Linked DNA regions of Rhinolophus ferrumequinum. The protein of the gene in region 4 interacts with the protein of the main gene of each other region in a pairwise test. Links are inferred from orthologs where the notes say so. Each region holds a gene or a part of one and is shown on either strand. Other genes may lie near its edges.

Region 1 (7,215 bases), on a different chromosome or scaffold from region 4:
GTGACATGCCATATTCTCATCAACAAATATTTATATTGTTTATGGGCTCTGTGACTACAGTAAGGCATAAGACCATGTAGCTTCAAGTAGCTTTCAATCGAGAGAGAGAGAGAGAGAGAGAGAGAGAGAGAGAAACAACACAATAGGTGTATGTACCACAGTAGAAATATAATTTTGTGCAACATAGACAACAGTGCTGAAGATACAGCCTTGTGTTCCAGATTTTCCAGGACAGTTCTGATTCAAATATCCTGTCCCAGCAATCAAGTCCTTCAGTGTTACCTGTCTGCTCAAACTATGGGTACGAGTGCTTGGCATAAAAAATATTATCATCACAGTGACTGATGAGGCAGGCCAGCCAACTGGCTTAGAAAAAAGCATGATGGCAGATTGTTTACTCATGTTAGTGCCTTCCACAGCCTTCAAGCGATTTTGAGATTGAATACAACACAGTGAAACTTGAGTTTTCTGAGACTGAGATAACTCATCAGGAGAAAGGCAGGAAGCTGGGAGTATTTAGAAATAGGCAGGTGGAGTGCAAGACACCTGTCTCTGTTACTCCATTCTTCTCCAAAGCCCTGATAAAGTTACTGAGAACTATAACAATAATTAGGCCTCTGATACTCCTGGGAAGGAAACAAATCTATTCGTGTGAAAAAATTAATTTTTTCCCCTAAACAGAGAGAAGAGAGTATCTTCTTTGTTGGCCTCTGGCGTTTAAGCTGACAGCAGTTATTGCCATGTAACAATCACCCCTTTCTTTCCCTTCTGCTCTCCCTTTCCTCATGTATCATACTCCTCTACCCTCTTGCCAGTCCATTCTCTCCCTGTACAGCCTGTACATTAGACAACAGTGCTCCAAACAAGAATCACATGGGAAACTGTAAAAACACAGATTTCTAGGCCCAATCCCAAACTTAGCGAAACAGAAATGTTTGGGAACCTGTCTCATATCAATAAGCAGCACTCAAGGCACCAAAGACTTTAAGTCTCATCTAGTGCTAACCTAATTTTTCAGATGCAGAAACTACAACTCAAAGGGTTTCAATGTTTTTCCTATGGTCAAAAATATACCACCACAACTTCCTTTTTTGGAAGAAGCAAACTATTTGTTTTTCACTCTAATGTAAATGAATATATATGTATTTGGATACATACACATACATGTGAAACAAAATTGTCTAGTGTGGAATAACCGTTTGTGAGTGAAAAAATGGTTACAAATTGATCGATTAGCTTAATTTTGTACTTAGCAATTCAACCATTTTGAAGCACAAAAAGTCAGTGTATCTGTAGGCTTTACACAGGGTGAGATACTCAAGCATACAATTTGAAAAAAAGAACTCTCCTTAACATCACGTCATTGAACAGTGAGAATAAGGGAACAATCAAATCAAGTCAGACAATGAGGGAATCACAGGTTTTCTTCTTCACATCCCCAGTTCGATGAGGTCACTTAAACAGTGTGTGTTTCCAAGGCCCCTCAAATTCCCACTTCTCACCAGTGTTCTGGCTTAGGCACTGTGTTTGAAAACTTTTTCCAATTTCACCAAGTAAGCTTGTAAATGCCCAATTAAGCTGTGAGCTCCTGGTAAGCTTGTGACGTTTTGTCTTGCGATGTTTCTTGAAAAAAAAACTAATGAATAAAGCACAGATTTACTAATGTGTAATCCCCCTCCTCCCAGAAGAAAAACTAAAATATGGGAGTTAAAATTTTAATCAAAACACACTGGTAAAAGCCATACCAGAATCTCATATACGTACACAAAATCAGTAAGCTCTTGTTTCTTTCTACAGTTTAGAGGGGTGGGAAAGACAGTTTAAATCACATAATCCATCTCCAAATTCTACAACTCTGTTTAGGAAAGAGCATCCCATCTGGTCAGAGACGACCAAGTTCAAGACCAACTGTGCCACCTTCCTGGTTGTGGGGTGCAGATCATTTCACTTAACCCCCGTCTCATCACTAACCCCACTGACAAACGGGAAAACTATCACAGGGTTTTGAAAGGGGCTGAGAGCGAGAGGGCTTCCTGAACGGTAGAGGACTATACGATTTTTTTTTTTTAAATCATGCTCCCCTCGTCTGGTTCATAGAGCCGTAAACAACACAATAACGATGACGGCCACAGGCCACAACACGTTCATCAGAACCAATTTAAATGGCATGGCAGACAAGCCTCGTGCAAAGACTGTGCAAGGCGGTCATGGCAGCTCCTACCGGGACATTAACAGACCCAGACCACTGTGCTGATGAGGTGACAGGTAAACTCCCCGCCCAGACTGACCGGCTGCCCCTGGCGTTGATCCCTCCCAATCCGACCTGCACCATGGTGGCCGCGGGTCACTCATGAAGTCATCAGAGTGACTAAAAGGGCCCCTCTGACTAAGGTGAGTCAGGAGGAGGAAAGGCAGAGCCACGGCCCAGCACAAGCCGCCACGCCGGGTACCCATCTCCGGCGCTGGGCAGCCCGAGTTCTCGCAGGCCCAAGATGGACAGACGTGTCAGCTGAGCCGTCAGAAGCTACAACGTCCGCCGAGAACGCCAGGTCACCGGCTGCGACCTCGGGGTCACCTCACCCAGCGCAGTCACGACGCCGGGAGGGGGGTACCCAACGGGGCCCAACGCCAATGGGCCTGAAGGGTCTCCCCCGCCCTGGAAAATTTCGTCTACGAAGCGGGGTTCCCCCACGCCCAACCCCCTCCCCGCTCACCCCACTTCCGCCGCCCCCCGCCCGGGCCCGCCGGGTCTCCCAGAGGCCGGCGCCGGGGGCGCAGCGGGCTGCGGCCGGCGAAAGCTAGCTCCGGAAGGCCCAGGCCGCTCAAGGCCCGCCGAGGAGCCTGAGGGAAGCCCCGGGATGGCGGGGGCCACTCACCAGCCGCGGGTCAGTTCGGCCGGCCGTCCGTACTGCGTCCGCCCGTCAAGCTGTGACTCTCAGGCGCCACCGCTGCAGCTAGGCGAGCAGGAGGGCGCGAGGGCGGTCCGACGTGCCCACGCAGCGGAGGCGGGGCCTGCGGAGGACACGCCTCTGCAGCGGGCACGTGGCTCCTCTCCAGAGGCCGAAGTCTGCGAGTTACGTCGGGGTGCATCCGAATGTTGGCAATGATAAGAGCGGATGTTTCTGAGGACGCCTCTGGGCTACGCGCCTTTCTTGCCCAATGTCACCACCTCTTCAGGTTCATCTCCTGCAGGGCTCCACCTGCCCTTTCTGTTCCAGCCATACTGGCTTCTCGTCATTTCCTTAACCATCGGACTGGCTACAGATTAAATGACTGGTAATGCCTGTGTTGGCAAAACTGTGGGAAATCTGTGGTGTTTCTGGGAGTTATTGGGTGTCCACAAAAGAAATTCCAAACCTAAAGAAAGGTTTAAAGAGTTTATTAGAGGCAAAGTTTTGGAGCTAGTCCCTGAAGCAAACTCGCAAAGGGTTGAGATAATGCTCTGAGGAATAGCAGTTTTGCAGTTTATTTTGTACGTTAGACTCAAAGGAGAAAACCTAAGAAAGGTTACTACGTGAAATCCATTGGTGGCAGATTAAGGAGATGGGAGAAAGTAAAGCGGGAAAATTTATGGGACTGGATAAAAGGTAAAATGGAGATACATGTTTCTTTTACATTGGTGGGTGCAGGATAATGAACGTTTAACATCCATAGTTTACAGAGGTACTGTCATGCAGGGTGTCATGCGGTGTCTCGGCTCCCGTTCCCCACATAAGAACGCAGGATATGGTGAGGCCAAAAAGGAACACCAAGGGAGCTATGGATAGGGGGATCATACCACTATATTCTTGCTGGCGGCTGGGTTGGAGACACAGGAAGTGGGATCCACATGATCTGTAATCCGCCGTCTGCTTCTCTGCCAACCCACCAATGAACATAGGGGTGGATATATCTTTTTAAATTAGTGTTTTGGATTTCTTCGGATAAATACTCAGAAGTGGAATTGCAGTGTCATAAGGTAGCTCTATTTTTAATTTTTTGAGGAATCTCCATACTGTTGTCCATAGTGGCTTCACCAATTTGGAATCCTACCCCATGCATGAGGGTTCTTTTTTCTGCACATCCTTGCCAATGCTTGTTTGTTGATCTAATGATGATAGCCCTTCTGACAGGTGTGAGGTGCTAGCTCATTGTGGTTTTAATTTGCATTTCTCTGATATGAGTGATGTTGTGCATCTTTGCATATGTCCATTGGCCATCTGTGTGTCCTCTTGGGATGAAATATCTGTTCAGTTCCTCTGCCCATTTTTTAATTGGATTGTTTGTGTGTGTGTTTTTTTGGTGTTAAGTTGTATGAATTCTTTATAAATTTCTGATATTAACCCTTTATAGGATGTATCATTGGCGAATACCTTCTCCCAATCAGTAGGTTGTCTTTTTGTTTTGTTGATGGTTTCCTTTGCTGTGCAAAAATTTTTTAGTTTGATATAGCAGTTAGGTATTTTTTTTATGATCAAAACATCTTGTGTAATTACTTTCAGTTATTGAGCTTGTCAGGCTTGCCAAGGAAGCCCTTTTTATTCACATGGCTTGGAAGGAGGGACAATTTGGCAAGATCTGTTAAAATTTACAATGGGCATCCTCTTTGATCCAACACTTCCACTTCTGGGTAGCTATGCTAGAAAAACACTCGCAAGAACCCAAAGAGGCACAAGCAAGGAATGTCACTGCAACACGTACCAGGATACTCCATTTTGGTGAAAACCTTGAAATAACATAAATGTCCACCCAAAGAGGATGGAATAGGGATTGACAAGGGCACATCCATTCAATAGAGTTGTGTCCCATTAAAAAGGAAGGGTAGACACCACTTGTAGGAGGACATTATGTAAAAGACGGAAAGCAAATTGTAGGAAAATACCAAAAAACAGAGGGTGCCAAAAAAATGTATACACATTTTAAGAAGGAAATAACTGTATTAAAACTGTAATGCTCAATATATACCAATAACAAAAGAAGAATACAAGTCATGTGTATACATTTTTTTTGGCACCCCCGGTATATAATTTCTAAATTTAAAAAAAATATATTGAACCCTAAATAATATGTGTGCTCAAGTTTTTAGGGGTGAAGGGTACTGATATCTGCAATTTACTTGAAGTGCATTAAAAAAATAAGACAGTTAGCCAATAAAGGACATGAGAAAAGGTGGTCAATAAAATAAGAAAAGAGGGAGAGGTGAATGTGTTGTTCTGGAAGCCAAGTAAAGAAAGGGTCTCAGGAGTCATCTGCTGAGCCAAATGTTACTGATGTGTCAAATAACATGAGGCGTGAGAGGTGACTATTATATTTGAAAATGTGGAAGTCACAGGTGAGCTTGAGAAAACCAGTTCAGAGTGGAGCGATGGGACAGAAAGCCTGATTGGAATGGATTCAAGAAGAAATTGAGGAAAGGAATTGCAAACAGTGTGACTAGCTCACGAGTTTTGCTATAAAGGAGCAAAGGAATGGAACAAGAGCTGGAAGGGAAGTGAGGTCAAGAGAGAGTTTTGTTTTTTTTTTAATGGAGAGAAATCCTGGCCTGCTTGTATGATGATTGGAATGATCCAGAATCGCTGGATCCAGTAGAGAGGGGAAGATTAATGTTGGAGAAGAGAGAAGGAAGAATTACTAAAGGCATGTCCTTGAATACAGAAATCCCTCTCCCCTTTTGCCCCCCCGCCCCCCGCTTATCTGTGGTTTTGCTTTCCGCAGTTTCAGTTACCTGTGGTCAACAACTGTGGTCTGAAAATATTAAGTGGAAAATTCCAGAAATAAACAGTTCGTAAGTTTAAAAAATAAATAAATAAATAAATAAAATAAGACAGTTGATGGGATAAATGGATATCTGATAAAGCAAGAATAGCAAAATGTTAAGAATTGAAGAATCCAGGTGGTAAGTATATGGGTGTTCACTACACAGTTGTTTCAACACTTCTGTAGGTTTACAAATTTTCATCATAAAATTTGGGGAAAAATATTCAGTATGACTCCTTTCATTTTTATAACTACAAAATGTTATCTTTCTTCATGTTCATGTTTAGGTATGCAAATGCATCCCAAAGCAGGGAAGGTTTACACACGAGAATGATAGGAGGTCCAGGGTTACTTGTGCTTTATCTGTACTAAGGATTCTAATATCATAATTTTGTAGCCAAATATCTGGACACTTCTGCAACTTGATCTCTGACCCTGCTCGACTGACTAGGCCATTTTGCAGTTTAAACTCTGACTCTGTCTACCTGATGAACTGCATTCTTTGCATTGTCCATTTCACTACAAAACTTGTTTTAATATTTTATTTTGCAGACTCCAAAGGAAACTAAGGCATTGGCCGCTGCTTTGTGACCCACCCCTCCCCTGATGACCGTGTCTTATGACTCCAACTGTTGGTCATATCCGTAACTGTACCTGCTGGCCTTGAGTCAATCGAAACTACCCATGGTTTTTGTCTTCCCGTGTGCTTCAGCAGACCTCTGAAAATCCAGTTTCCCACACCAATCAAAAAATGAATGATGTAAGTTTATGGTTTTGTTTCCCCAGCACCCCATCCCTTTGATCAGCAACTCCTCACAACTCTCACCTTTAAATCCCTTGCCTTATTCTTCCCACCCTAGACTGTGTCTTCAGTTCATGCTGAAGTCTACATTCTCTGATTTGCAAATCGTATCAGAATAAAACTCTCTTTTTATCCCTTAGAAAGAGGCTTGTGGAATTTTCATTTATAGTACCATTTAAATTTTTTATAAGAATGCATAAATGCATTATACATTACTTGGCTCTCAAAATCAAATGAAAACTAATGAATTTTAAGAAAGGACTAATGGGAAGTACACACTGTACTGCTCCCTGCCCCAAACACACACACACACACACACACACACACACACACACACACACACACACACTTGAATTAAACTGATTGAAGGAGGGGTTGCTTTGAGGTTTCACATGAGATAATGTGGGGCTTAACCTGTGCTCTGACACATAGGAGGAACCCCGAAAAGGGTTCCCACTGTTATCATTAGTACATGTCACTGGGCTGGGTGAACTGGCAAGTGCTTTGTAGGAGGTCCTTTGTCAGATACAGAAGTCCCACAGAAAGGAACCAGTCAGTAGCTAAATCTCTCCATTCAGGTCTCAGGGGACCACAGAGTGGGTAAGGTTTCAAAAGACAAGACTTTTGCCCAGGCTGCCAATCTGCCCACCTACTTCACACAGCCCCCTGGCACTGGC
Region 2 (7,190 bases), on a different chromosome or scaffold from region 4:
TTACTTTATAAGAACTCAACTCTGCTGATTGGCAAAAAAAGAATAAAGGCCTGTAAAGCAAACCAGCTATTTCATCTGACACCTGACTACAAAATTATACTGCACTAAGCACTCTTCAAAATCATGGAATACGTTATGTGTTTATGTAACTGATATATAAGGTCTACTAACTACATCTGGACTTAACATTTTGTTCAGTTATAAACCTAAGCCCATATACCACGCTTCATGGAGATTTAGGGGTTCTCACTTTCCCTACTGCCTGTAGGATCTAATCCCCCTGACATGCTGCACCCCTGCCCTGGGTCCCCAGAGGCTCCTCTGCTCCAGGTTAATTATTTTTGGCTACAAAGAGGCCCTGCTTCGTTGAACCCAGGGGATCAGAAGCCAGAACTCTTCAATTCCATCCAACAGTTACTTACCGAGGAGGCTCCCGTGAATCCAGTACTGACCTAGGAATGGTTATGGATACAGGCTCGGCCCTCGAGAAGCGCGGCCTCCTGGAGAGAACACAGACACACAGTGATGGCTGGAGAGCCACACAGAGAACAGCACTGACCACATACCCAGCATCTGGCCCAGCCTGGGGCGGCCTGAGCACCACTAGGATTTTCTCCTCAGCTCTCAGAATGAAGCAGCCCCGGCCAAGACCTGTCGGACCCTGCTCCGGGCTGGAACTGACCTCACCTGGGGGGCAGAAGACACTGGGGGGGCCAGGCCAGGCCAGGCTCAGGCTCTGCTGGGCCCTGCAGCTAGACCCCCAGCTCACAGCTCCTCCCCCACGACAGTCTCAGTTCCCAGAGACCTCTCCGTGCAGCCTGGCAGCATGGCCCCTCCAAGTACTTCCACTCTGATGGTCACCCAGAGGGCTGCGTTCCTGTGAGCCAGCACCGTATGCCTTTCAGAGCTAATTATAGGTCAGTGAGACAGCAGGCCAGGGGGGGCACAGACGGTGACTTCCTGTGGCTGCAGTACACTCCCGTCCCCCCTCCCTCCCAATCCTCCACCTGGGACCTGGACTCGGAGGCTGCTGTCACCGCCTTGGTCCTCCCGACTCCACATCAACTCGTTCTCTCCAGCACACACTACACACAACTCCATACCACACCATGTTTCTATAGCAACCCATCCAATGGCCCAAAGCCCCGGGGGAGTGTCCCGGGCATAAGAAGCCTCAGCTAGCCCCCCGCCCGTACCCTAAAGCCCTCTGGTCCCCAGCTCCCTGGCCCTGAGCTGAGTCTTCAGCCTGCCTCCTCATCCTCTCCCTGAGCTCTCACCCCATTATCCTCCACGGCTCCAAAAGGACCACAGCAATCCCTGACAACTCTTTCCAACTCTAAGATTTCAGCAATCAACTCAGGGACGACACCCAGGAGCCTGGCTGCCTGCCCACCCTGCCCCTCCAATCCTTCCTCGGTACCCAGCTGCAAGGCCACACACACGCCCAGGCTGACACCACGACATGCTCACCGAGTGAGATTGCCCTTCCACACTGAGCCCCCACACTCTTCTGCCTTCCAGAGATGGGGTCCCTGCTGTGCCAGGTGTCTAGTGCCTTCTTGGCCCCCAGTAACCACTGTGCTAGTCACCATCTCATTATGTTGAGACCCCCTTTATCCCAGGCAGCGTCCTAGGACTCAGGACAAAGTCCTAGAAAAGAGCCAACGGAAATAATCCCAACTGTTCCTTTGGGATGACCTGGGTTGTTAATAGTTGTAGGGGGTGGGTAGGCTGGAATTCAGTTCAGACCGTTCCATCTTTTTGTAATCCAACAGCAATGTAACAAAATGGGGGGAGGGGTGTTAACAGAGCGCCTACTGTGTGACTGTGTGTACCTCTCAACTGCCCCACAGCTCTAAATTGCCTTCAGAAGACCCAGTACCTAACACGCGTCTGGCATATAGCAGGTGCCCAGTAAATGTTTGCTGCGTGGAACACCTCTGGAAAGACAGGGGATCCCTGAAAGCTGGCTCCTGGAGGGCGGCCTTACGCCCCCAGCAGGAGGGGACCCGCACGCCAAGCACACCCTCCTTGGTAACCACTTGCTCACCCGAACAGCAAAGCAGCAGCCCAACTCCCCTGCCCCTCAGACGGACACCTCCAGCATGACGTCAGCACCTAGTGGCACCTTGTCCTCCCCCCTCCTCCTCCTTCTCCAAGAAAAGCACCCACATCGCATTTCCAAGTCCTCCAAACCAACCTCTCTTCCCACCGGCCGTCAGAAGCTGCAGGATCCACACTGGAAAACATACTACGTGGTGGGAACTCGGCTCCCCACTCTCACCCTACCAGTTCAGGGATCTCTCTTTCTCCCCCTTTTCCAGTTGCGACCCCCCTCGCCCCCACCTCAGCAGACTGCGGAGACGGGCGCCTCTGGCACAGCCTGCGTCTCGCAGCCGGAGGATGGAGAGCTGGCGACATTAAGGGGTGCTGTGAGCGACGCGGGAAAGACGAAGACCCCCCCCCCACCCCGGGGGAACGCGAAGTCCTCAGCACCGCTTGCGCCTCCCGGCGGAGCTGCCCCCGGAGCCCAGGGGCTCTTCTTCTCTGACTCTCCTAGGGGGGTGGAGGTGCAGTCCGTCTCTGGTTTCCTCCAGGAAACCTGCCGCTCAGGCCCCCCTCTGAGGCTGATGGATGAGCGCGAACTCCACGCCCCCCACCCCGCCCCCCGCAAATCGGACATCGCCTCTACGCTCACCCCAAGGGCACAGGACTGCAAAGTCCGGAGAGAAGCGGCACAGAGGCAGCATCTATGCCTGTGGAGGGAAAAGGGGCTGCTGCCCAAGGCGCGCCAGAGACCCCTCCCCGAACTGTGCAGAAGCTGGAGCTGGGAAGAGAGCCATCCTTCTCCATCCTGGGCTCTGCACGCTCACCTGCCTGCAGTTCTCCAAGACAGGGCAGCTCCTCGGAGGCCGCAGCAGCCAAGGAGCCGCCTTGACCTGACGCCCCACACGCCCGACACCCAGCAGCTGCAGCCTCGGGGGCACGAACCCCGCCTCCTCACTCGAGGCCACGCCCCCGCCCGGGGTACGCCCCGTCCCTCACGTGACCAGAGGCCGCCGCAGCCGCCTAGCACAGAGCCTCGCCCCCTCCGCGCTCTGGCCCACCCCCAGAGGCGGGGCCTGCCACCTCCCTCCAGGCCGCGCCCCGCCCAGCCCACGTGACCTGAGAGGGCTGTGAGGCTGCGCGCTCGGCCTGGAGCTTCCCTCCAGGTGGCGCAGCATACAGGGCCATCCCTTTGAATCACCCAGGTCCATAAATTGGTCTCCGTACTGGCCTTGTTGCCAGCGATTTGTCACCTTTCACACCTGCTCCCTCACGCCCATTTCTTGATTTTCCTTTGGTCACACCCATTTTTAAGTGGAGAAACTTGAAATCCATATACATTTCCATAGCGTGCGCTTAAATGAATTGTGTCGCTGTGCTGACACTGTAAAACGACATGTCGGTCTGTTATACACACATTCTGTGAAGACACTGTCCACACCAAAATTCCTGGCACATTTTAGCTCAGTTTCCCCATTTCCCTGACTTGCTCCTTCCCCTGTGCCGTGGCTATATACGCATCTTTGCCGTCTGGTTTGGGAAGTTTCATCACCGTGCCCAATCAGGCCTTCAGGGAACCCACGCACACTCTAGAAGCGGAGGGATTTCATACACGTGCTGTGTGTGTACATCCATAGGCACACACACGCCTAACCAGCAACAAATGCTGTAGTTGAAATCAGTGGCACAAACAACCTTTCATTTATTTTCTTTCCTTCAATATATTCACCATTTGGCTTAGTTTCCTTGTATGTTTGGTAGAAGAAAGGACAATTTGAGTAATTTTGATTTACTTGGGGGGTAAGAAATGAAGCTAAATTTATGTTATTTTGTCTGACCCTCGGAGTAAAATCAAAGTATAGATTTAAGGAAGTAAAAATTACAAAACAGATTTTACAAAAGTAGTCCAGCAAGTTCCAACTCTTCTCCAGGTGGTGTGGGGTGAGGTGGGGGGGGTCTCATCAAAAGGAAATCCCTGAGACACTTCCTGTGCTTTCACTAATAAACCATGAATCATCCTAGAAGAGGTGACTCAGCTAATGAAGAGGGGAGGCTGAGGCCATGAAGGTTACTGGTAACACACCTGACCAAATATCCGTCAACCTTATGCTAAGACAGCAGCTGAGGCCGTACCTAATATTATGTCTTTCATCGTACCATGGAGTTTGACACAAAAACTCAGGTGAGTCAGAACACAATTATTAAGCCAAACCTATTTCACTCCCCCTTTGAAGGGAACTCCTAAATTGGGGCCATGCCCACTCTGCTCCAAGAAACCTTTAGTTCAGGGAACTAGGGTTTCCTCCTGCCTCAGAGGCAACTTCTGATTGCAGATATTTGCAAGGTGCTTACTGTCCTTGGGTCTTGTTTGACCATTTAAATGCCCAGATTCTGTATGTCACTGACCCAGGCTCCCACCCTCAGCATGAGGTAAGGTTAGCTGTTAACAAAAGTGTTAAGCAGATGTTCCCTGAGACTACTCCTTAAATAGCAGGGCGTAGGGAGGATGGCAAGGAAACAACACACCAATTTAGCAGTATGGTAACAACTGCCCCCACAAGATGTTCATGTTTAAAGAATATCGCCTTAATGCCCACCTCATGGCAATATCCTGGCAAAATCCAGCTCACTGGCTAAGTTGCGGTGGGAGAAAGCAGCAAAAACCAGACAAAGCAACACAACACACCCATGAGGCTCTTCTGAGTGGACCAGCTACAGCAAGTCCTCTGACCAACAGGACAATAGTGTTTCTGCAGGGACGACACGGGATGATGGGCTGTGCAGGGCGGGGCAAGTGGCAAAGTGCATAGAGCTCACGAGGCTGGTTTCAACATGGGGTGCCTTTTTTAATGACCTTCAGTGTAACAAATGTCTTTCTTACAATTCAGTAAAAATACCACTATCTTTTCTGCAGTATGTTCTTGGTTCGTTTTACACCTTACTTAGAAACATATTTAAAAGATTCTCATCAATCTTATGCACCTTTCCGGCTCATTAGGGATAAGGCATACCACAATCAGGTTTTTACTCACCTTTTACTTTTTATCTACATGCACTCTGCCCACCCCCCGTCACCACCTACCACAAGAAAAATGAGACTGACCTTTCTAACTGTGGCACAGCAGAGACCCGGGCCAGAGTCCTAGCTGTCGCTCACTGGCCGGTAGACCTTGGGTAAGTCACTGATTCAAGATGAGGACAGTGGTACCCACCTTGCAGGGTTGTGAACATCAGAGCTATCGTCTCAAGTTCCTTGGACTGTACCAAGCACAGAAAGTCACTATCATCACTGCTCTCATAAAAACACCTAAAATCCAAAACTGGCAAAAGAATTTTTACGCGATAAACTTCCAAAAATTGTTTTTGAAGAAAGATACACAAGCCAATCTTGTAAGACTGTGAAAACCCTGTCACCTGCTTTATTTCTGGAGAAGGGTAAGGGGGAAATATTCACGTGAATTTGAGGGGCAGCTAAACTGAAGTAACAGTAGCAACAATCCAGGCCTCTCAGGTTCCTCTGAGCCAAAGGCGCCGCTGAAGCTTCCTGGTTTGGAGATTCCAGAGTTTAATTTTCCCCTAGAGCAAAGTCATCCATTTTCACTGGGATAAAAGAATAAAGACCACAAACTCAATAGCACCAAAGGGGGTTTAACGCAGAAAATAGAGCCAGGTTTCTTCAAATGAAATTTTTACATTAAAATATGTTCAGAAATCATAGTTGCTTTTCCTCGTGATTCCACCTCCTCCTTCCCCTAACAGGAGCCCCAGGAAGCCGAGAGCATGTGCGTCCCTAAGCAGACCTCCAGTGCGGCCGCCCCTCCCACGCTGGACTGACCCCTCAGGACGGAGGCAGAGCTAGGCTCTCAGGGAGAAGGGGTACTGCGGGTGCCACCAGTCAAAGAGCCGCACGCTGTGCACGGGGTCCAGGATCACTTGCACGCCCTGCTCACTGCGCAGCTTCCGACCGCCATGGACAGGGACGTCCTGGAACAGCAGTCCCACGCGATGGTGCCGCATGTCCGTGCTCACGCTGATGGTGAACTGGGGGGAAAGCAAATCCGGAACCCAGATCAAACAATCTGTTTTCCTACCGGCTCACTCTGAAGTGACACAGTTGGGACAGAATATACACGGCTAGGCCCTGACACCTTTGCAAAAGTATAAAAAATAAGGGTGATTGTACAAGTTCTCCTTAGCTTCTTCAGTTGAACTATGCTAAAGAGCACCTCCCAGGTGGCTGAGTAAGTTAGCGTACCTGCACAGACTAGCCCCAAAGCTCATTTTAAAAAATTGGGTTAGAGCTGAAAGGGCTGACATGAAGGGATTCTGATGAGACACTATGGAGCGAGTCAGGCAACATGCAGGAAACATATACCTGGTCCCACGTTTTGGAAAATACACCAAGTCTCTGTGTACATGTGGTCAGTACAGAGCTGTGTGAACGCACAGCACACAGGGTACGGGCAGTGTAGGACCAAGCCACTAGCATGGCCTGGCCTGGGGCGGTGGTGGGGAGGAGCAGGGGGTGCTGATAAAAGGACCGTGTATGACGGGATCTCAATTATATAGGATCACCTAAGGGAGTGGGTGCGCACACGTCCACGGCGCACAAAGGGACACAAAGAATAGTTCCTGAAGGGTTAATCTCAGTTTTAGGTTACTGCAAATCTAAGTCGCCTTGTCTCAATGTATTTATGCATTATCTAAATTTTTTACATGAAGTATGTATTATCTACTTTACCATTAAAAAAAGAGTAACGCCATTTTCAATGTGGAGGGGAGCCCCATGTACCTCTGAAACGAGCCTAAAGTACAAAGATAAATCACATGGACTCTCCAGTTGCCAACGTAGTTAGAAATGTTAAAAACCTAAAAGAGAAGCCAAAGGCATATTTCTTGTTTACTAACCTAATTCTTAGCTGAGCCTGGAAGGGTCAGAGCCCCAGGACACAGCGGGCCACCCTGGTTTAACATTGCCTCTGTGATACCACACGCACACATGGGGGCCCCGACACACAGAGCTCACGAACAGCCCACCATTATCCCAGGGTCGTGTCTCTCAAACATGATGCTCACTACGCAGGAGGTGCAAAAGCGTTCTCTTTACTGTAGAGAAGAAAGCAGGTGAAATACTCTCAGGCGTA
Region 3 (7,336 bases), on a different chromosome or scaffold from region 4:
TCAAGCTGAACGGCACCCTCCACAACTAAGATTGAAAGGACAACAACTTGACTTGGAAAAAAGTCCTGGAAGTGCACACTGTTCCCCAATAAAGTCCTGTTCCCCTTCCCCCAATAAAATCTTTAAAAAAAAAAAAAAGACCTAAATACACGTATTTGAATTGCACTTGTTTGAAATACTTGAGCAGAGGGCCAGCCTCTGGGTCTGGGAAAGGTGTGTCACCTTGGAGTTTTTTGCATGTAAGTGAGCAGGCAGCCTGCCTTCAGCCAGCAGCTCACTGGGAGCCAGTCCAATCTGTAAGAGTGGAATCTCCCAAAGGAAACTCATAAAGTGATGTTTTCTCCTCAGCATGAGAAAGTCACAGAGCAGTTACACTTCACTGTGGGCTCTGTGAGGCTGAGTGATAGCTGCCTGTGCACTAGAGCTCCCCACACTTCTCACACCTGTAGACTTGCTCTCCAAGGTTGATGGTAAAAATTTTCTCATGACTAATAACAGTTATTCTCTGACTGAAACGATAAGGTGGCTCTCCACTGTGAATTCTCTGATGTTGAATAAGGTAAGAACTCTGTCGGAAGGCTTTCCCACATGCAGTGCATTCATAGGGCTTCTCTCCAGTGTGAATCCTCTGGTACTGAATACACTGTGAATGCTGACTGAAGGCCTTCCCATAGTCACTGCACTCATAAGGTTTCTCACTGGTGTGAATTCTTTGATGGTGGATGAGGTGTGCACTCTGGCTGAAGGCTTTCCCACAGTCACTGCATCCATAGGGCTTCTCTCCATTGTGTTCTCTCATGCTTAATTTGGGTAGAGATCTGTCCAAAGGTTTCCCCACACTCACGACACTCATAGGGCTTTTCACCAGTGTTAGTCTTCTGATGTGAATTAGGTGTGAGCCCTGACTAAAGGCCTTCCCACATTTATGACACTCATTGGGCTTCTCTCCATTATGTACCCTCTGATGCTGGACAAGGGACGAGAGCACGCTGAAGGCTTATTCATACTCGTTACATTGATAGGGCTTCTCACCATTGTGTGTTTTTCGATGGAGAATAAGATTAAAACTATGGCTGAGAGCCTTTCCACACTCCTTACACTCATAGGGCTTCTCTCCAGTGTGATTTCGCTGATGCTGAATAAGATGTCCTTGTTGATGGAAGGTTTTTCCACTCATGACATCCATAAGGTTTTTCTCCAGTATGGATTCTCTGATGCTGAATAAGGGATAGACAAGCACTGAATGACTTTCCACAGTCACTGCAGACATAAGGTTTCTCTCCAGTGTGAATCCTCTTATGTTCAATAACTTGTGGGCGCCGATTAAAGGCTTTTCCACATTCATTACACCTATAGGGTTTCTCTCCACTGTGAATTCTCTGATGAACAGTAAGGCTTCAGTTCAGGCTAAATGATTTTCCACATTCATAACATTCGTAGGGTTTTCCCCATGTGTGTCATAGACCCCAAATGCATGGGCTTGATGAGATAGAAGTTTGTTTTCCTCATGTGGCAGGGTCCCTGTTTGGTGGGTTCTGTTTGACTTGCTTGTTCGGAGGCTGATTTTCTGTCCTGTTCTCTGCTGTCCTCTGGAGCAGTGTGTCTGACACTAGTCTCACGGACATGTCTGTCGTCAGACTCCGAGTGGAGGCTCTGGCCTGGCCACATGGTTCCACTCACATTGCACTGGTGAGAGTTCCATTATGTGGCCACACAGAAACCAACAAGCTGAGTTTAAAATTCATATGGAAATGCAAAGGACCTACAGTAGCCAAAATTACTCTAAGGGTATAGAATAAAGTTGGAGGGAGGCCTAATACTGCCTGATTTTAAGAGTTTTAATAAAGTCTCAGTAGTCAAAACAATGTGGAGTTAAAGACATTGTCCACAGTGTACCAATGGAACAGAACAGAGTCCAGAAATAAACCCACGCAGAGATGGACAACTGATTTTTGACAAAAGCACAAAGACAAGGCAAGTGGAGAAACGATAGTCTTTTTAAGAAATTGTGTTGGAACAACCAGACATCCACCTGTAAAAAAATTAAACTTGAATCCATGCTTTACATTAGATACAAAAGTCAACTCATTACGAATTGCAGACTTAAACATATCACCTAAAACTTTTAAATTATAAAATTTTCTTCTAGAAGAAGAAAATCTTCTGAGTTAGGCAAAGGTTTCCTAGATAGGACACCAAAAGCACAATCCATAAAAGAACAAACTGATAAACTGGCCTTGATCGAATATTAAAACGTCGGGGCAGTCGACTTGCTCAGTTGGTTAGAGCGTGGTGCTCTTAACAACAAGGTTGCTGGTTTGATTCCCACATGGGCCACTGTGAGCTGCACCCTCCACAACTTGACTGAAACAACTACTTGACTTGGAGCTGACGGGTCCTTGAAATACACACTTAAATAAATAAAACTGTTTGGAAAAAAATTAAAACGTCTTCTCTTCAAAAGACACTGTTGAGAGAATAAAAAGACAAAGCACAGAGTGGGAGAAAATCTACACAAACATGTACCTGACAAAAGACCTGTATCTAGAACATTCCTGTATTCAGAAAGGAACTCCTTAAAACTCAGTCAGAAAACAAAAACCCAGCTAAAGAATCAGCAGAGATCTGCACAGACTCTTCACCAATGAAGAGAAAGAAGGAAAATCAGCACATGAAAAGAATTTTAACATCTCCTTGTTTGGGAAATTCAAATCAAAACCACAACAGATGCGACTGCCCCTCTACCAGAGCAGCTAAAATGAAAAGGACTGACCACCCCAAGTGTTTGTGAGGACGTGGAACGTGAAATGGCAAAAGCACTGTGGCAAACAATCAGGCCTTGCTCTAAAAAGGTGAATATGCACCTACCATATAATCCAGCCATTCCACTCCTAGTTATTTATCCAAGAAAAAAGGAAACGTATGGTTATCCAAAGATTTGTACACAGATGTTCACAGCAGCTTTATTTGTGTCAATTAAAAACTGATAGCTATCCAGATGTCAATCAAAGAATGGATAAACAAATAGTGGTATATTCATTCATACAACAGAATACTAATCAGAATTAAAAAAAAAAAAAAAGAATTATCGACACCCAACGCGGATGAATCTGAAAATAATTGTGTCGAATCAAAAAAAGCCAGACAAAAAAGAATCCACACGCTGTAATTCCGGTGAGATGAAACTACAAGATGTAATCTACAGTGATAGAAAGCAGGTCAGTACTTGCTTCAGGACAGAAGAGGGAAGGGGTGAGAGGGAGGGATTATAAAGAGGCAGGAGATTAACCTTTGTAGAAAACACAGCTGGCAGTTCTCTGAGGTTTGTCATTAGAATGTGAGAAGAGCCACACAGCTTTTGCACAAGACTGTTCAAAGAAGTGTGGTTTACTTTGAGAGCTATTGCACCACTTCCGTGTGGCAAACAAATGAGATCTCAACAATTCTTTTTTGTATTTTTTATTTTTATGATGAGTCTTCTTATCAATGTACAGAGACCAGCTAATTTGACAATGAAAAGAAAAATGCATAGACTCAGCTATATGCTTCTCCATTCATGAGTGCTCTTCCCGAGATCTTCTCTAGCTAACTTCACCCGGTCTACAAGATGAAGAAGAGGAGTGAATAAATGATACCCACCCACACACGATAGTGTGCTTGCTTAGAAGTTCCTGTGTGAAATGGAATCATTTGAAAGCACCTGGGATGTCTTATGAGTTTCACAGGATTCTCTTCTTGTTTTCTTTTTAGAGCGATAATAACATAAATTTAAAAGCAATTACAGTTTGAGGCACAGTTATGTGCCTGTATAAGAAAAATCTCTCATCTCTTCTGCATATTATAATTCTTATGTGGGTTAAAAAGAAAAATACTTTTGTAATGTCTTAGAACTCTCTAATAGTAAAAAGTGCAAGAATTTCAAAAAAAAAAAAAAAGAGACACGAGAAAACTTATGGGTAACCGTTTCTATCTTGATTGCAGTGGACAATGTCTCATGAGCATGCACGTGTGAGAATGCGACCGAACTGTACACTTTCGATGTGTACAGAACATTCTCGCTAACCATACCTTAATAGAGTGTTTCTAAAAAGGAAGAAAAGGGCATGGGGAGTCCGGCCAGTTTGCCAGGGACCATCCCAGGTCAGTCCTGGCCAGCAGTGACGCTGGGCCAACACCCAAAGCTCTCTGTGCGCCTGTGTCCCGAGCACCGACTCTGCAGAGACAGTGGGAGGCTGCGTTAGTTCACTGCGCCCGCCACCTCGCTCGGAATAAAAGCACCCAGGGCCCTGCCCCCACCTCCTTCTCGCCGGGGACCAGCCCCACCAGGCCTGCCATCTGTTGCCTCGGGAAGTCCTTTTTTAAAAGTGCCAGGCCGTCTTACTGTGATTTTGGTAAGGATTATATATAGGCTTAGCTTGAGGAAAATCAGTGGTTTTACAATATGAAATCTTCCAATACAGTAATGCAGACTGTCTCTCCCTTTATTCAAACCTCCCTTTAGATTCCATGGTATTTATCATTAAGCTTATCACTCTGGTAGTGCTTGCCCCGGAGGGATGCCGACTCACCGCCTGTGTTCACAGCGCTGCGCGGGGCTGCGTGACAACTTTTCACGTGTCTTCACCTGCCTGTCTCGCTCCACTGGGAGGTGAGCTTTGGGAGCCCGCGCCCTCGTTTCGGGCGCTGCCCTTTCCTCCAGGGCGCGGCCTGCCACGTGGTACACCTGCTCGGGGGTCTCCTTTGCGCCCTCCCGCGTCCCGTCCCGCCCCGCAGCCGCTCGGCCCCGCCCACCGCGCCGGCGGAACGCTGCGACGCGGACGCGCTTCTGGAGGAGCGAACTAGGCCTGGGACCCGCATGAGTTCCGGTGCGGCCGCGGGGCATGGCGGTGAGCGGAGCAGAGTGGGGGCGCGGGTGGCTGGGCCTCCGGGCCTGGGCTGTACCCCGTGACCTTCTTGTTGCCTCCCTCTCTCCAGGCCCTAGGACACCCTGCTTGGGAGACAGCGGCGGCACCAGGTCCAGGTACCGCCCGCGCGCCGCGCAGCCCCCGGGCCTCCCGGCCGCCGTCCGGCGCCCCGAGTCCTTCCACTCTAAGGTCTCATCCGGTCCGTCTCTGCTCAGGGCACCCCACGTGCAGTGACGCCGCCTCCAGGGCGCATCCCGTAGTCGGTGAAGGCGGCGCAGCTTCTAAGAAGCCGAAGAAGAAGAAGAAAACCCGGAACGGGGCCTCCGTGTCGAATGGAGACGGAAAGGCCTCAGAAAAGCATGCCCCGGAGGAAGCTCCTCTAAGCGCAGAGGCCCAGGCAAGGGCAGTGCTCAGTCGGGAAGGGTGGGGTCCCCGGGTGCATTCTAGGTGCGAGTCCTCCAAGCGGTTGTGGTCTCGGATTTGCGGAGTTACGGCAGAGGGATGGGATGGGGGTTTTTGGGTCCCTTGCGATGAGGGTGGAGGCCGCAGTGTCCTAGTACCCTCTCAGCCACTGTCCCCAACCCATCACAGGCGGAGCAGCTGGCTCGAGAACTGGCCTGGTGCGTGGAGCAGTTGGAACTGGGCCTCAAGACGCAGAGACCCAGCCCAAAACAGAGTGAGGAACCCTTCTGTAGAGTTGGGGGAAGGTGAACGGTGACAGTGCTGTGTCCTGCCAGTGCCGCCAAGGGTTGGAATAGGTGGTTTTGCGTTGGAAATGAGGATAGAGGAGGTCCCTAGTCCTTTGTTTTTGTCGGCAGGGGAGCAAGCTATTGGGGCAATCCGAGCCCTGCGCAGCGAAAGAACACCCCTGCCCCGGAAGAGGCAGCTGATGCGCTCCTTGTTTGGGGACTACAGGACTAAGATGGAAGCCGAGTGGCGCGAGGTCCTGCGGGCTCTCAGGACTGGTGAGGAGCTGGGAACTGGTTAATTCAGGGCTGCGTAGTTCAAGGGGGTAGGGAGGAAGAGGTGAGGCAGTTAAAGGAAGACTCCCAGAGCTACAGGGCCGGTGAGGGAAGGAGACCGGCTCAGGAAAGCCTGGGGGAGCAGGGAGAGAAAGCCTGCACCTCAGGAGCACAGAACTCGGGCCTGTGCCAAGGAGGGAGGGATAGGAGAGTTAGTGAATTTCTCTGTGATGTTAAGTGAGGTGTGATAATACCTGCCTTATAATTTTGAGAAGTAGGTCAGTGAATTTATACAAAGAGGTTACCGTCGTAGGGGCATAGTTAACATGAGCTGTTATCACTCAGTTCTGACACGCTCCCCTCCCCCACAGCAGCACACTCAGCCCAGGTGCAGCCTGTAGGTGAGGCCACCAGAAAGAAGAGCCGGAGGGTTTGCAGGCCTCGCCTAGCAGGGGGAGCCAAAGCAACCCTGGACACTCCTGATGAAGAGTTTAAGTTCAATTTCTTTTAGCCTCTCTCTCCATCCTGGTACAGTCCCCTTCCCCAGGTGGTGTGGGGCTTTGTCCCCCGTGCGGAGCATTTCCAGGAATGCTCCGTTGGACGGATGTGGGATTGGCCTCTCCCCGGCTGGTCGGTGAATGTGGTTCCATGGATGGTGGGCAGATGTGAGACCAGTGTATTAAGTAGTGTCATACAAGCACAAGACCCTATTAGTAGGATTTCAGGTGAATGGTTCCTCCCGCCCGAGAGGAAGGTCCATCTAGAGAGATTTCTACAGCAAACTGAAGTGAGTGGCAGTGTGTGGTGGAAAGAACGTCTTACTTAGTTTTCAGGGTTAGATTAAGTGGCTGAGGGTGAGGGGAAGCTGCATAATTGCACTTTGGTGCTCACTTATGAAAGGCCGTCCTGTCAAATGGGGTAGTGCTTTATTCCTTTGTGTCATATTGCCCTAATAAAACTGTTTTGTTGTAAAAATTGATGAATGAGCGTGTGTGCTAATTGCCTGTGTTAGACCAAGTACAGATGATGCAGGTGTCTGGCACTGCTGGGCCCAGGCGCTCAGCCCAGCTGTGGTGCTTGGTCTGTGTTGCCTTCATTCCTGGGCAAGTATCCTCAGGGAGCCAGTGTGGCCCCCCAGCCGGCCAGGCTTTGTTCTTAGAAGCAGAGAGCTGCTAGCCCTAAGGATCCTGGCGAGAAGCCTGGATGGAGCCTCAGTGAACGACCTCTGAATATTGGCTGCTCCACGTGGCCGTACAGGGCTTGTGCTTTATTGAATCGGCTTTCCCAGGTGGCTTAAGCCTCCTGTGGCTTGCAGGCCATATTTGCTGGCATATCCCAGACCAGACAGATAGCTGGAGCCCAGCTGTGCACTGTACAGCTCTACTTTGACGTTTCATAGGCATCGTTGAGAACACGGGATGAGCCCCAAATCCCCCTTCGTTGTCTGCTTTTCAGGGGCCGGTACTACTG
Region 4 (7,741 bases):
ACTCCTGTGCCTGCCGAAGTGGAAAGGTTAAGACGGCGGCCCAGGGGTAAGGAGCGGGCCCTTGAGAGCTGGGCCAGGACCGTGTGGCAGGGTGAGTGGAGGGCAAAGAAGGAGGCCCCACACATTCTCCAGGTTTACTGACCCCTGCCCCTTCTCTTGAACCCCCAAGGCAGGCAGGGACACAGATGGTGCCTGCCGAGGTGGCACCAGCTGCCATAGCAGCCAAGCCCTGCCCAGCTCCCTCACTACATACGCTTATCCCATGTGCCCAGACCTGGGAGCAGAGGGAGAATGGGGACCTTTGGGGTCAGGCTGCATCTCACCTTTCACCTCCATAACCCCTCAAATGAACCAACTACAAAAAAGCCACAACTCCATTCCTCGGGCTGGGGCTGCAGGGTTCCTACCAGAGGGAGTGAGAAGCCTAGGATGCTGGGCGGGAGGCACACGCCCGGGAGGCGGTCTGGGTCTGGGCTCCAGATTCTCGGTTCCCCTCCAGCTCTTTACTGGGGCTGCTATAGTTCCCAGACTGAGAACGCCACTCACTCCACGTATCATATGGGGGCGGGGGGGGGGGGGTTGGGGTAGCCCCAGGCAGCCAGCAGGGATCCTGACAAGCATCCAAACACTTGGGAGCTGCCTGCTCTGTACCAGACACCATGCTAGGTGCTGGAGTGGGGCGATGAGTAAGACTTTGTCAGCACCCTGCCTACCTCGCCATCCTCACCTTCTCACCAGCTGCCTCTTCCTGACCTGTATCCTGGATCAGGGGAAAAGGAGGTACGCAGGGCACAAATGCCTCTGTGGGAAGGACTGGGACAGAGCTGGGCAGTCCAATAGATCAGATGCACACCACTCCTCCCGGAGCCCAGGGGCTGTAGCCAGTCAAATGACATGGAGAAAGGACAATTGCCATGTTGATGCTGTCCTGTGGCCCTCAAGCCCAGAATCAGGACCACAGATTTAGAGCTAGGAAGGTCCTTAAAAACCATTTCTACTCCAACTTCTTTGCTTCACAGTTGAGGAAACTGAGGCCCAAGAGTGAGGAAAGTCTTGCCATGGGTCACAGAGTAAGAAGGAAATAAAGGCACCACTAAAATCCAGGCTCCCGATAGGATGTCTGCTCAGAGTACCCCTGCCCATCCCAGTTGCCCACCCCACCATGCTACACCCACCCAGCAGAGGTGTAGAATAGCCTGGGACACATATGTAGAAGGCAAGCTTTCCTTTGAGTCCCTCCATCCCCAGACCTGCCTGTGCTTGGGGCAAAGGGGATCATAGTCTCCAGCTAATTAAGGGTGAGGACACATACCCCCCAGATAGCTTCCTCAGAGCTCTCTAGATCATGGCGCGCTCTGAGAGGAGGTCCCGGGGTCACGACCACCCCCAGAGCACTCTGCCTCTGCCAGGTACCCACAGTTCCTACCTACTCTAGCTTGGAGCCATAGAACCACCAGGGCATCTGTGGATCTCAACCTGTTGTGGTCCTGGGCCTGTCCACAGTGTGGCTGGAAGTTATGGGCCCATAAGATAGCACCCCACACTCTCCCACTTAGTGTGCCCACAGTCCCCGAGAGTTCACAGACCCCCCGAGCCTGCCCAAAAGCCTCCCGGGCAGACAGCTCCTTTTCTAACGAGAGGATGGACAAAGGCCAGGGCGTCCTTCCCCAGGCCAGCTGCTGAGGCCCATCACTGGCAGCGTCCTCCCACATCAGAAGGGAGCAGCCTCTCGGGTCACTGCTCCTCACTTCCTCAGCAGGTCAGGGGGGTTTCACATCAGCCTGGACCTGACTCTGCTGGGAGGGAGAAGGGAAAGACCACAGTAAATACGGCCAGGAAGCCAACGGAATCCTGGGATGGAGGCACCCTTCCGCACTGCTTCCTACCCATTTCTGGCCAGACTGGGCTAGAGGACCAGGATGGGTCTGTGCCCAAGCTGGGGCAATACCAAGCCACCTTCCCAAGCAGGCCTTCCTGGGGCACAGGAAAAGCCAAGTCTAGTTGCTCCCAGTCACCCAGTGACCTGGGGATGCCTCGGTGGAAGATGCCCAGGCTCATTCTGGTCCTGAACATCAGGCCCTGCAAGGAGCCCCAGCCTTGGGAGGCAGGGGCAGGGAGTTCTAGGAGTAGCCACCCCCTCATCTGCTCGCTAGGAAACAGTATCCAAGCCCCCACCCCCACCCCCGCCCATCTGCCCAGCTCTCTGCCCCTTGCCCTCCGCCACCCCAGTGGGCCAGCAGACCATGCGAGCAGCAGGTGCAAGACGCGGGGGTGGCACTGAGATGACACAAAACCACACTCGCCCCCACCTCCTAAACCCTGCCGGCCTCCGCCACAGCTCTCCTGCCACCCCAGGCTGGCGCTTCCGTTTGGATATCGAGATGGGGGGGGAGCAGCTAGCTGCCCGCCTCCCTCAGACTGAGGGGTGGGAGGCGGCGCCGGGAATGTCCTTCCTCGCTTGTCCGCGGACGCAAGGGAACAGGGGGCCCCCAGGCCGGCCCTCCTGCCAAGGACGCGGCTCCGCAGTGGCCCGGGAGGGGGCCGAGGCCGGAGGCGGGAGGCCGCAGCCCCCAGCCCCACCCCGCCCTCCGGCCCCGCACGGCGCTCCCGCCAGGCCCCGGCGCCCGCCGGGCGGCGGCCTCCGTACGCGGTCCCGCCCCCGGCCAGGCCCTGCTTACCCGGGGCGCTGCAGTCGGCACACACCTCCGCTCGCGGCCCCTTCCGGGACATCCTCAGCGGCGACGCGGCCGCAGCCCTCTGGGCCAGCGTGGGGGGCGCGGGCGGCGGGCCCGGGCGGCGGCGGCCCCTGTTGCCCGGCCCGGCTCCAGCAAGGCCCCGGCTAGGCTCCGCGCGCCCGGCCAACCGACAGCCCTCGGGGCTGGCCCGGAACCCGCCGTGCCCGCCTGCCCGCTCGCCCTCGGGCGCCCTCCGCCCCGCGCCGCCCCGCGCCGCCCCGCCGCCGCTCGCCTCTCGCTCTCTCCGCCCCTTGCGCGGCTCCCGGCCGCTCCTGCAGGAAACGGCGCAGGCCCTGCCCACCGGGGGAGGGGCAGGCCGCACACCCGCCCCGCCGACCGGCCCTGCGGGCCGCGCCTCCCAGAGAAAGGAAGCCGGGAGCGCGGGCGGGAGGGGGCGGGAGCGCTTAAAGGGACCGCGGCCGCCGCGGGGTTGGAGCGGGCAGAGTCGCCTGCGGCCCTGGCCCCAGCTCTGGCGCTCCTTTGCCCCGGAGGTAGTGTGAGTCTCCCTCACAGCCCTTTCACTTTCGAGATGGGGGGTGGACTGGGAGGTCGGGCGCTGGGACCGCGGCCCCTGGAAATCAGGGAAGAGAGGAAGGAGCTGGAACTTCAGGCCCCCCTCCTCGTCAAGGGGCTGTGGTTTGGGGTACCCGCTTATCTTTGGTTGGGGTAAGGTGTGCGTCCTGGTCTCGCATGTGCCCACATCTGCGTGTCCAGGTGTGTGTGTGGTCACACCCTTGCTGACTATGCACACCGCCAACAATATGGTCGCCCAGGTGCCAGAGAGGTCACGCAGTGTATCGCTGTATCTCTGGCCTTTCTCAATGCTTCCATCCAGAGAGGAAAGAATCTGGGCGGTTTTTAAAGACCTCCGGAGGAGTGACCACTGTGCCTGTGTGCAGTAATATCCACTTGTCATCCGTCTTGTATACATGTATAGTGTTTCTGGGCCACCAGAGTGTGTGTCCATGGCATGTGTGTGTAACATACAGGGACTTTTTCTTGTAGCAGCCTTTCTTCCTGGACTTCACACAGAGACTCGGCGGGGTGGTGGTGGGGGACAGGGAGCAGAGGCGCATGCCGCACGTGGGTGCACCCCGGCACTGAGCATGCTCCCCCATACACGTGTGCCCCGCGTGCACCCAGCCCCCATCCCTGCAGCAGCAAAAGGCCAGAGCACTCTGCTTGTGGGGAGGGGGGAGGGCAGGGGTTCCCAGGGCCAGGCCTGGGGACCAGATCAGTGGTGACACGATTAAGGGAGAGTTCCCAAGCGGCAGGGAATCCTGCTCTGTAACCGGGGTGGGAGTGGGGTGAGGGGTGGGGGGAGTCCTTGGGCAAGGGTGCCGGAGTTGGTCGATTTCATCCCGGCGGTGCCAGAGCAGCAGTGACTTGTGGGTGTACTGGCTGCTTCCCTGGGGTAGACAAGTAATGCTCATGAGTCACATCACCCAAAATACATGCAAAGCTGCCTCCATCGCCTTTCGCTGCAGCCGAGATTGACAAGTTTGTCTGAAATCGCGATCCACGGGATATATTTATAATCACACCTTTAAAAAAATATTGTATGCCTCCCCTCCCCCCACAGCCAGCCGCTGGCTGGCAGGGCTTCTGCCAGCAAGGATACCTCGCGGAGTATGGGTGGGGGTGGGCAACACCTGCCTCCCAGTGCTGCACCCGTACGGAGGAGTCAGTCCATAGGCTTGGTGGCCCCAGATTCGGCAAAGGGGGGAGTGGCCTGGCCGCCCATACCCGGCGCCCAGCCCACCAGCGGTGGACGCCGGTTTACCCGATCGACCCCCAGCTATGGAAGTTCATTTATTAAATGTCGAGGCGGCTGCTGGAAGCCCCATCGCTTGGCCGTCTTTGTTTCTCTGCTGTGTGGGCGCGTCTAGAGCACGTGGCAGCTGGAGCGCGCAGGCCCGAGGAAAAGCGACCTGGGTTTAGAGTGTATGTATGGCTGCCTGGCAAAAAGAGAGCCGGCTGCCCAGGGGAGGGGATAGGCCCCCCAATCCAGGTTGAGTTCCCTCCTTCCTTGAGCTCCAAAACTTCAGGGGAAAAAGGATGATTCACCCTGTCCCACATAGTCCCGGACCCATCTGGTTGGCCCAGGACTACCTGGGAGTGGCCCAGGCACAGATCCACTCTCCAAACTTTGTTCCGGAAACCCCCCGCCCCGCCACAGCCGAACTTCTGGGCCTGGGGCTAGGGATAAAAGGGTTTCAGGATTTCCCTTTGGAGATGTCGTCACCTCAGGAAGCAGGACAGTTAAAGAGAAATCACACACAACGTTCTAAAAACAATTTAATAAGGAAATGTACAGGCATTCCACCGGCCACTCCTAGCCGTCCCTCCCCAGCTCCAGCCCCCTCCCCAATTCCAGCTTCAGCCACGACACTTTGCTGACCCCTCGTGGTCGAGGTGGGCAGCGGTCCCCGGCTGCCAGAGACGCCGGCTGGCTCCTCCCAGGCTGGGGAAAGGGGCGAGGCAGTCCACTCCTTCCTCATCCTTCCCCGCCCCGGCCTGGCACTGCAGGGTGTGGAGGAGGAAGGAGAGAAGACCACACAAAGGAACCTGAGAAAGGCGCGGAGAGTTTGCAAGCTTTTGCTAGCACCTCCCACACAAACACTTCTTAGATTGTTCTAAGTAGGGCTGGTGTGGAATTCCTTATTCCTGTCTTGTTCTAAGATGGGCTCGAGAAGGCACTACGTTTGTATGCCTGGTCCCCAACACCTGTCAGTCCGCCTGGTTAGGGGAGGGATGCGCAGTTTCCAGGGCAGTTACTATCCTTAACTCACCCCAGGAGGAAGTCTCATTTTAGAGGTGAGTGGTCTGAGAAACCAGAAAATAGAAGCAGTTTGCTTAAGGTCAGGCAATTAGTAAGAAAGAATTCGAACGCAGGTCTCTCTAACATCTCAGCCCCTCCTCCCTCCAGGGATTGGGCCAAGCCTCTAGGTCCTTCCCACCCTCGCAATAGGGCGGCCCTTGCAATAGGCGTCCGCAGAGATAACATCCACTTTTACCAGAGAGTCTTCAGGGACCCTTCTGGAAGGACCTCTCTACCCTGGGGTTATCCAGGAAGCAGTCGGTCTCTGGAATCAGTCACTTCCTCTCTTGAGGGGATCACACAAGGTGGAGATGGGGAGCTGCCACCTGCTGCTTTCTCTGCCCAACCCCACTCTGGTCCATGCAGAGGACAGTGTATGGAGCAGGGGCACTGTCCTCCCAGACTTAGTGGACATTCTCTTTCCAATGTCAAGTGTGGGAAATGGAGTTTAATTTTATAAGAGGGCACGGAAGACTCCTATATAATTATTCAGGTGCCAGACCCCTGATTGCTCCAATAACCCCTGGTACTAATCTCCCTCACCTTTCTCAGGAGTCCCACATAATTCTCTTTTTTGGGGGGAATCTAGATCCCTCACGATCCACTGGGACCCAAACTCGATCTCGAAGGCCACACCTTTCCGCGCCCCCCAATGCTGAGGCGAGGCCTGTAGTCCCCTCCCACTCCATGAACAGGCAAAAGGCAAAATGCCAGCGGTGGGGTTGCGCCCCAGCCCACCTGGCATTAGGACGCTGCCTCCGTTTCGGCCATGCCTGATTCCCTCCCCACGCTTTCATGGGATGAGGGGGACAGTGCGGGACCCTTTCCGGCCACTCGCCACCCCCAGTTCTACGAGGTGGACTACAAGCCCCATGATGCCGCGGGGCCGAGCTATAACAAGCTCTGCCCGGGGCACCCGGGTCCCCTTCCTCTCTCCCCTGCACCCCCGCATCCCTGGCCGGCCGCTCGGGCTGAGGGCCGGGCTATGCGGCTGCGAGGAGCCGGGGGCTGCGGGCGCGCGTCCCTGCGGCGGCGGCCGCGTCCCCGGGGCCCGCACCCCGTGCGCCCCCGCGCCCGCTGCGGGAGCCTGCTCCCTCTGTGGAGCCGCGTCTTTGTGTGCGGGGGTGTGAGAGGCGAGGAGCGAGTAGGAGCCGCGTCGCCGAGTGCCCGCTCCCTCCCGGGGCGGGTGGGGGCCTCTCCACGCCGCCCGCCGTCGCCGCCGCCGCCTCGCGAGGACGCCGGCCACCCGCACCGCGCCGGGCACGCCGCCCCCGCCCGCCGGCGCCGCTCGCACATGCCTGAGCCGCAACCCTGCGAGCAGGCAGCGCCGGCCCCCCACCCCGCGGCCCCGGGCCCCGTCTTCGGCGCCTTGCCTCCTCCCGGGCCGGGCGCCGTGGCCCCGGCATGAGGAGCGGGCGATGATACCCGCTAACGCCTCCGTCAAGAAGGGGCCCGAGGGCAAGTACCCGCTGCACTACCTCGTGTGGCACAACCGCCACCGCGAGCTGGAGAAAGAGGTCCGCGCCGGCCAGGTAAGAGCGCCGTCCGGCGCCGCGGGGACCCCACGGCCGGGCACGCCCGCCCAGCGTGGGGAGAGGGCGCGGCGCGGGCTGTCCCGCCTCCCCGGCGAGTTTGCAGCGCTTCTTTGTTCGAACCGCGGCTTTTGTGCTTGTGGACCGGGAGAGGGTGATGGGAGCGGCCCTCGCCGGGCTCCTCTCCAGCGGGGACCGGCGGCCCACACGTGTCCCGGATCCTCTCAGATTGGAGTAGGGGATCCTGTGCCCCTTCCCCGCCGGGTCGTGAGGGCTGCGGGGGAGGGACTGCCGGCTAGGTCTGTGTTCCATGTGGTGGGAGAGTCCGCCCCACTCTGGAGCAGCGACACCTCCCGCGTGAGTGTGCGGAGGTAGGCAAAGCCTGCGTGGGGGGGGTCACAAGTCCAGGATCAGAGAATAGGCTGTGTGACACCCCCAGGCATCTCAGCCCCACCCATTGCCCTCAACCCTCAAGGCGAGTGCTTAATCTGTTTGCTTAGACTGGGCAGAGCCCCTGGATCCCTCAGACCCCAGAGCCGGCTCAGGACTGGGGAGTGGACAAAGAGAGACCCTCTTGGGGAAGCCCCAGAGCCTTGTCCAGGTGCTGAAAGGCGCTCTCCTGCCCTCTGGTGCTGGGGCCTGGCTTCTAGGCT

Evidence for each region.
Region 1: the proteins of GIT1 (region 4) and HMOX2 interact in a two-hybrid assay, tested with the Homo sapiens proteins (2 studies listed by BioGRID and IntAct). The link is inferred for Rhinolophus ferrumequinum from reciprocal best matches to the Homo sapiens genes GIT1 and HMOX2.
Region 2: the proteins of GIT1 (region 4) and PPFIA4 interact in a two-hybrid assay, tested with the Homo sapiens proteins (2 studies listed by BioGRID). The link is inferred for Rhinolophus ferrumequinum from reciprocal best matches to the Homo sapiens genes GIT1 and PPFIA4.
Region 3: the proteins of GIT1 (region 4) and C14H8orf33 interact in a two-hybrid assay, tested with the Homo sapiens proteins (2 studies listed by BioGRID and IntAct). The link is inferred for Rhinolophus ferrumequinum from reciprocal best matches to the Homo sapiens genes GIT1 and C8orf33.

What each region holds. Positions count from the first base shown.
Region 1 is NW_022680357.1:5,677,032-5,684,246, reverse strand, and holds the start of HMOX2 (heme oxygenase 2), read right to left. Parts: upstream 3,018-7,215; 5' UTR 2,877-3,017; intron 1-2,876.
Region 2 is NC_046310.1:121,601-128,790, forward strand, and holds the start of PPFIA4 (liprin-alpha-4), read right to left. Parts: upstream 3,014-7,190; 5' UTR 2,874-3,013; intron 847-2,873; exon of another isoform or gene 688-846; intron 501-687; 5' UTR 423-500; intron 1-422. Other genes in the region: TMEM183A (transmembrane protein 183A), read right to left, coding at 5,902-6,087. UniProt on the Homo sapiens protein: May regulate the disassembly of focal adhesions. May localize receptor-like tyrosine phosphatases type 2A at specific sites on the plasma membrane, possibly regulating their interaction with the extracellular environment and their association with substrates.
Region 3 is NC_046297.1:73,370,523-73,377,858, forward strand, and holds C14H8orf33 (UPF0488 protein C8orf33 homolog), read left to right. Parts: upstream 1-4,880; coding exon 4,881-4,886; intron 4,887-4,974; coding exon 4,975-5,020; intron 5,021-5,119; coding exon 5,120-5,301; intron 5,302-5,495; coding exon 5,496-5,580; intron 5,581-5,722; coding exon 5,723-5,869; intron 5,870-6,237; coding exon 6,238-6,377; 3' UTR 6,378-6,835; downstream 6,836-7,336. Other genes in the region: ZNF16 (zinc finger protein 16), read right to left, coding at 4,569-4,882.
Region 4 is NC_046304.1:18,058,021-18,065,761, reverse strand, and holds the start of GIT1 (ARF GTPase-activating protein GIT1), read right to left. Parts: upstream 3,004-7,741; 5' UTR 2,731-3,003; coding exon 2,679-2,730; intron 1-2,678. Other genes in the region: ANKRD13B (ankyrin repeat domain-containing protein 13B), read left to right, coding at 6,975-7,088. UniProt on the Homo sapiens protein: GTPase-activating protein for ADP ribosylation factor family members, including ARF1.